2 linked regions of the Cricetulus griseus genome follow. The protein of the gene in region 1 purifies or fractionates together with the protein of each later gene. This does not show direct contact. Links are inferred from orthologs where the notes say so. Each region holds a gene or a part of one and is shown on either strand. Other genes may lie near its edges.

Region 1 (3,818 bases):
TGGGACCATCATGGTCTGTTGTGACTTCAATGTTATTTTTGTGATGTATGACCATATGTACTTACTTTATATCTACATAAGTCACTTCAGGTTTTTGAAAGTCTCACTGTTAGCAGTATTATTTGTGAAATTGTGGATTTGGTATATTATTTTTTTTCTAACACACATGAGAATAACCTTAGATTGTTTCTAGGGCCACTATGCACTCCAAACAAGACCCAGGGCTCAAGAACAGGAGGACAGGAAAACAGGAGGATAAGAGAGTTGAGGCACAGAGATGGATGGAAGGCTTAGCTGTGGGAGGAGAACAAGGCTCAGTCCAAGCCTTGATTGAAGTAGGGTCTGTAATCTGAGCGTATTAGCCCTCTCTCCCACACTGGTCCTACTGTACTGAGAGTCAGTGTAAGAGGTCACAGCTATGACATCTAATTCTGATTTCTGTCTTTGTGTCATGGCAAAGACACCTAGCTCTACTCAGTGTGTGTGTGTGTGTGTGTGTGTGTGTGTGTGTGTGTGTGTGTGTGCGTGCGCGCGCGCGCTCGCGAGTTCACCCCGTGCTCATTCAAGCTCAAAAACGTTTTTTCTCCATCTACCATCACTTGAGGTAAAAGTGCGGAAAGGGGAACTTTGAAAACATCCTGGATATGCTTTCTAATCATAAATCGTTTTAACAGTATGCACGACTTCATATTTGGTCAGGCCATCTCACTTGATGGTTCCAGAGATCAGAAGCCCAGTAAATGTTGGAGAAATGGGAGAAAATACAGCCATACTTCTAAGTATTAGCTTATTCCCCAGCCCATAAAATCTCTCTGGGGTATGGACTAATTAAGGGCAGTTTGTTTGGGTTGAGGAAGGACTGTAGTTGTATATAATTGTGTATGTATGTTTGCAACTCTCCCTGTCCCTATTGCAAAACAACACTGGCACCAATCATCCAGACAGAAGGGAAGAAACAAAGAGTTTCTAGTTGTCTTCCTGTTTACATTTCTCCTTTTCCTTCTTTCTTTGAGACATCCAACCCATGGCCTCACACATGCTAGACACATTCTCCTCCACCACTGATCTCTACCCACAGCCTGTTTATGCTTTTACCACTGAAGCTAAACTATGTACTAAAACTCAAGCAATTGACTATTAGCAAACCAGGGATTTTAAAAGAAAAGTCTGTGTCTTGCATTTCCCAGTAGGACACGAGGAAAGACAGAAACCTCTGATTCAGCCCTTCTGATAGAACAGGCTTCATGGATAGATACAGAAACAGCCTCCACCTTCACGAGCTTGGAAAGGTTCCCTCTGTGTCAGACACTGGCCATTTCTTTGGTCCTTAGCCAGGTGCAAGTACGCACAGTGCACACGTGTTTGGGTTTGGAACAGCAAATTCTGATTACTCAGGCCCTCCTGATGGCTGACTCAGTGTCTGCTCTCCAACCTTCTCTTTGGGAGGCGTGTGGGTCCCAGAGGAGATGGGCTTCTGGGTGGCAGAAACACAGCTGGTGGGATCCGAGTGGTCACTTAGCTGTTCCCCACTCTAAATCATCCAGAGTCTCGACTCAGTTTCACCTCTTCCCTAGGTCTCACACCTCCTGCTTCATTAGGAAAGGTTTCTTGTTTAGGGTTGAACTGAAGATAGAGACCCCCACCCCCAAGTTCTGCATTGGGATGCCAGGGGTTGGGCTCCATTCAGCCCGTGGTAGAGTTAACAGGCCTGGTGATGTCACCTCTGGCACTGCTGTGCACAGATGGTCCTTGTTACGTACTTGTGGTTTTGCTAGTTGGCAATTCCAGATCCACACCATTTTGTAACTCTGGAGTGGATAGAGGGACAGAAAGCTTGGAAGAGCCCAAGACAGACAGGCTGACCTTGATTCTACCGCTCTCTATTCTCCAGTCATGGCCCTATCCTGCAGTTCTCAGAACGGGAGGCTTAGACAACAGCTGTCCCTGCCTCCTTCTCCTCTCCATTCTGCAGGGGCCACAGCAGCAGTAAAACTGTCCAGAAAGGACTGGAGTTTTCTCGGAGGAGCAGATCTTCACTATAATGAGGGGAAAGTGGCCTTTTAGATTTATGTTATCATTTTAAATTATGTGTAGGTGTGTGGGTCTTTATGTGAGTATGTACACATGAGTGCAGGTACCCTCCGAGGTCAGAGGCATCAAATTCCCCAGAGTTGTAGTTACAAATGGTTGTGAACTGTCTGACCTGGGTGCTGGAAACCAAACTTGAATTCTCTGGAAGAGCAGCTGTTGCTTTTAACTGCAGAGCCATCTCTCTATTCCCTAGAGATTGTTTGTAATTAATATTTTTAACACAGCAACCATTTGGTTTGCATGAGCCAGCAAGTGGTTGACTAGCCAGCTCTGCCCAGGCAGACATCTCTCTCAGTGGCATCTTCTTCCTCTCTTTCTTTCCCCAGCCTTATTTACCATGGGAGGCAATGCAGATGGACAGCCCTGCAAGTTCCCGTTCCGTTTCCAGGGCACTTCCTACAACAGCTGTACCACCGAGGGCCGCACAGACGGCTACCGCTGGTGTGGCACCACTGAGGACTATGACCGAGATAAGAAATATGGATTCTGCCCAGAGACCGGTGGGTATCACTGCCTCTCTCTGACCCTCAGAGGCAAGCATTTTGCCATTCAATACCCACTTGTCCACACACAGCATCCCTTTCCAGTGAGTGTATGTTAATGTCAATATCTTGTCTTTGTTTCCTGGTAGTGGCCTTAGATCCTCTGCTGCCCCTTGACCTGTGTTCCTTACCCAACAGCTATGTCCACTGTGGGAGGAAATTCAGAAGGTGCTCCATGTGTCTTCCCCTTCACTTTCCTGGGCAACAAATATGAGAGCTGCACCAGTGCCGGTCGCAATGATGGGAAAATATGGTGTGCGACCACAGCTACCTATGATGATGACCGGAAGTGGGGCTTCTGTCCTGACCAAGGTATGAAGCCCTGGCTTTTGGTAGAGACACCAGACACTCCTCCACACCTGAGCTAGACTATTCTGAGGGTCAGACTATTTTCAGATCAGACATTGTCCCTAGACAAGTGTCTTAGGGTTTTTATTGCTGTGAAGAGACACCATGCCCACGGCAACTCTTACAAAGAAACCATCTGGCATGGCTTGCTTACACTTTCAGAGGTTCAGTCTATTATCATCATGAAGGGGAGCACAGCAGCGTGCAGGCAGATGTCGTGCTGCAGCCGAGAGTGCTACATCTTGCAGGCAACAGGAAGTTGACCTACAGTCACACTGAAGTCCACTAACAGTCACACTGAGGAAAGCTTGAGCAAAAGAGACCTCAAAGCCTGCCCCCACAGTGACATACTTCCTCCATCAAGACCTCACCTAATAGTGCTACTCCCTTTGGGGCCCATTGTCTTTCAAACCACTACAACAAGATACCCCATTGTGCTCTCAGACCTCCCCATCTGAGCAGAGACTCTGCTCAGCCACAGTGAAGACAGGTTTCTTGCTTAGGACCAGCCAATTCAGGCAAACATTTACACAGTTTCCAAAGTGAGACCCTATTACTAGCCACTGATCCTTGGTGGGTATCTGCCATGCTCTTTCCATTCTTGCCTTCCACTCCAGCCACCTTTCCAGGCAGGCAACAGAAAACAGTCAGTAGTGACCTTACTGTTGTCAGAACTGAGCAGGGTGCTTTGGGCCTATCTTTCAGCGCCCAGAGGCCCAGGGCTTCAGGTTTCAGGTACCCCAAAGACATTCAAATAATCAGGACGGGTCTAGAGCCTGACAGAATGAGCCTCTGTTCTAGTTTCGTTTTTGTTGTTGTAAATAAACACTTAGGGAG
Region 2 (3,818 bases), on another chromosome or scaffold:
CCCCTTGCTGACATGTTAGGACCACCATGGTCCTAAACACTCCCTCACACCCCGGCTTCCTGCTCCAGGGCCCCTCTCTGGGGTGAGGGGCGGTGGCTTGATGTTTCTAATATGAATCTGCATTGAGTCTGAATTTCCTGTCTTCTCTAGGGCGAGAAAGGTCCACAAGGCCCAGCTGGCCGAGATGGCCTCCAAGGTCCTGTGGGGCTTCCTGGTCCAGCCGGCCCCGTCGGTCCTCCTGGAGAAGATGGAGATAAGGTATGGAGAAGTGTGAGTGTGTGGGTAGGCAGGCAGTGAGTACAAGGGCAGGGTTTAAACAGCATCGGATATGATCTAGAGGGCTCAGCTGGCAGCGCAGTGCAGTGTCCCTTCAGACCTGGTGTGAGGGGATGATTTTGAAGTAGCACACAAATAAATGGCAACAAATAAGACATATGTGGGGAGCCTGGAAAGCGCTTGACTCCTTGGCAGACTTGTCTGAGACGTGTGCAGGTCATAGCCAGAGCTGAAGAAATTGCTCTCTGCTCCCTTCTGAACCTTTCAGACTGGGACTGTGTGGGGCTGGATTTAATGAGGTTTTACTCTGTGTCTATTTTTAAGTGTCTTCCCTTGAATGATCGAAGCTCTGTTTTTATTGCTATTTCTGATGCCATTACCGAGGAGCCTGGATTTTATACTTCATTAAGGAGAGACTGTGTGGCTTAGCTCTTCAGCCCTGTTCTCCATTTGTCATAGCTCTCTGGTGATATTTCTGACTTTGTCACCTCTGCACAGAGGACGTCTTAGTCTTCTGTCTCCATGTGGGAGGCGGTCCAATAGAAACACCAGGATGGTAGACTGCCACATCACCGTGTCTACTAACACCTTTGCAATAACCACAAAGGAAACAGAGTAGTGGAGGAGGTGGTTCATTAGTAAAGTGCTTGCCTTGCAAGCATTAGGATATGAGTTTGACTTCCCAAACACAAGTTTAAAAAAGCCAGGTGTGGCGGTGTGTCTGTACTCTCAGAACCCAGGAGGTGGAGACAGGAAGATACCTGGGGCTCTGTGGCTGGCCAGCCTAGTCAATGGAGGCAAGTTCAAGGCCACTAGAAACCTGCCTCAAAAAGGAACAGATAACAAAATAGGGGACTGAAGAGACAGCTCAGTGATTAAGGCACTGGCTGCTATTGTAGAGGACCAGGGTTCAGTTCCCAGCATCCATATGGCAGCTCACACCTGCCTGTAACTCCAGTACCAAGGTACCCAATACCCACTCTGGCCTCTTCAGAGTGTCTCATGCAGTGCACAGATATACAAGCCATGTGCACACACATGAATGTGTACACACACACACACACACACACACACACACACACACACACACCATCTATATATACACAGACATCAAAATCAGAAAGGAAATCAAATTCACATAAGAAAATGCTTTCTGTTGGCAAATCTTGGTACCATCTGGAGAGCAACTGTTGTCAGTCTCCAAGAACGATTGCCCAAAGGACTAAGAAGGGTACATCCAGCCACCGGACTAACAACGTCCTTCTTATCCATCCCCAGGGAGAGATCGGGGAGCCAGGGCAGAAAGGAAGCAAGGGGGACAAAGGCGAGCAGGTAAGAGTGTAAGTGTGCTGGAGTGGCTGCTGAGAGCAAAATGACCCTCTGTTCACACTCCGTGATTCCAGAGAACTCCTGGGTCACACCAGTTACATTTCTTTCCCAAGAGTATCCAGTGTGCATGTGTGTTCAAGTGTGTGAGAGAATCTCTTGGTGTAAGAACATCTGTCTGCCTGGGGACCCATCAGTGAGGACCACAGAGCTCTGCAGAGGCAAAGCATCCATTTGTCCCTTAGTCTTTCATACATCCAGGGACACGGAGTTGAGGGTGCTACGGCCCTGTCACCCACACCAGCCCCCCCCCAGTGCCATGAGTCCCCTCCAAAGTGGGGACTAGTCTGAGCCTCAGACTGGTGTCAGTGTCATTACTCCTGAGGTGATATCAGAGGCTTCAGTGCAGGCCTCTGGCTCTCTGTTCCTCCTGGCTTTTCTCTCTCTCTCCATTCCTGCACCCACAGTGATAGGCACTTGAGGACAGCATACAAGAAAGGGTCATGGTGGAGTCCTCCCTTTGAGGCCTCTGATCCTTGTTGTCTGAGGGGGTCTCTTCTGTCACAACAGGGTGTATGGTGGTTGCTGAGCGGACACAGAGTAACCTTTCCTGTTTCTGTTACCCATAGTAATGTGATCTTGGTTGAATTGAGAGTCTTACCTACTTCTCAGAGCCTAAAACCTGGCTTGTGCCATGATGTTCATAGTTAGTGTTCCTCTGATGACTGGCCCATTTGACTCTGATAAGTCACATCTTGCACAACCCAGCCACTTCTGGTGACAGAATTTACCTACTCCCAGACTCATCTGCAATGTCAAAATAATTATGTCTCTGTTTGACCCCTACAGGGTCCTCCTGGACCTACGGGTCCTCAAGGCCCCATTGGACAGCCAGGTCCCTCGGTGAGTATCTATGTTGAATGATGTAGCAAGGCCTACCTCTCAAGCCGTTGTCCATCCTCACCCATGCTCACTTCCTTCCTCCAGGGAGCAGATGGTGAGCCAGGTCCTCGTGGACAGCAAGGCCTGTTCGGGCAGAAAGGAGATGAAGGCTCAAGAGGTTTCCCAGGACCACCGGGGCCAGTGGGATTACAGGTAACCATGGAGCTTCCTAGGAGATCCCCCCCCTCAATGTGTCAGTGTCTTGCTGGGCCCATTCTTGCTGTCATTGTAAGCATGAGGAAACTGAGCCTCAGTAGTAGGGATTGGAAGATCTGCCAGTTTTCCAGTACACACATACACTTGGGTGATGCTCATACATAGTCAAAGCTGCTTCTGTGTTTACCATAGAACCCTGGGAAATGGTAACCTGTATTAAAGGGATACAAACCACCTAGAAGTGACAGCCATCTACCCAGTCCACCTCATTCAATGCCCTTACCCACACGATTCAACTGGATGTTAGGGAAGTACCAAGCTCGCTGTGTGCTGTAAAGCATACACCAGCCTTCAGTTTTATGTTATGGGGCATGTTAAATGTCATCAAATATTCTTTGAACACAAGACTTTATTTTGGAAAACACATTTTTTAGTTACTAGGTGGTATTTGGCATATGGAGGGGACTTGATTTATCCGGAAGCGTCCCTGCTGCCGCCTCATTAGGTTTATTGTTTTATGGGAAGCTGCCATAAGCGCTGGTGCTCATAAATCTTGGCATTCTCCTCTGATTATGTCCTCGGCTGTTTGAGCTCTGGAAGCAGGAAACCTCTTTCCGTGGAGGGAGACTCACAGAAACATATTTCAGGGCCTTCGGGAAACATCGTGGGAGAGGCAATCATGGCAGTGACAATCATGAGAGCCATGTGTGTCTCTCACAGAGTAGTATCTCACCAGTTTCCTGTCCACAGGGTTTGCCAGGACCTCCAGGAGAGAAGGGTGAGACAGGAGATGTGGGCCAGATGGTAAGTAGCTGGGCCATTGAGACCCAGTATGGTGCTCCCGGTTTACATTTTGGGGAAGGATGTTTACATCTTATGTTGTTCAATGGCCTCTCTTCTTTCCAGGGACCTCCTGGTCCCCCAGGCCCCCGAGGACCCTCTGGAGCTCCAGGTGCTGATGGGCCACAGGGTCCTCCCGGAGGAATTGGCAACCCTGGTGCAGTGGGAGAAAAGGTAATGTTCATCTACTTATCCCAGTGTCTTATCCCATATGGGATAAGGACTTATCCCATAGCTACATGAGAAGTAGTGTGTTTGTGTGTACATGGAGTCCTGTG

Evidence for each region.
Region 2: the proteins of Mmp2 (region 1) and collagen alpha-1(V) chain purify together in Homo sapiens (co-immunoprecipitation; 3 studies listed by BioGRID and IntAct, counting the BioPlex papers as one, with this or other methods). This does not show direct contact. The link is inferred for Cricetulus griseus from reciprocal best matches to the Homo sapiens genes MMP2 and COL5A1.

What each region holds. Positions count from the first base shown.
Region 1 is NC_048596.1:168,546,615-168,550,432, forward strand, and holds part of Mmp2 (72 kDa type IV collagenase), read left to right. Parts: intron 1-2,417; coding exon 2,418-2,591; intron 2,592-2,771; coding exon 2,772-2,945; intron 2,946-3,818.
Region 2 is NC_048599.1:139,697,356-139,701,173, forward strand, and holds part of collagen alpha-1(V) chain, read left to right. Parts: intron 1-150; coding exon 151-258; intron 259-1,554; coding exon 1,555-1,608; intron 1,609-2,451; coding exon 2,452-2,505; intron 2,506-2,589; coding exon 2,590-2,697; intron 2,698-3,450; coding exon 3,451-3,504; intron 3,505-3,606; coding exon 3,607-3,714; intron 3,715-3,818. UniProt on the Homo sapiens protein: Type V collagen is a member of group I collagen (fibrillar forming collagen). It is a minor connective tissue component of nearly ubiquitous distribution. Type V collagen binds to DNA, heparan sulfate, thrombospondin, heparin, and insulin.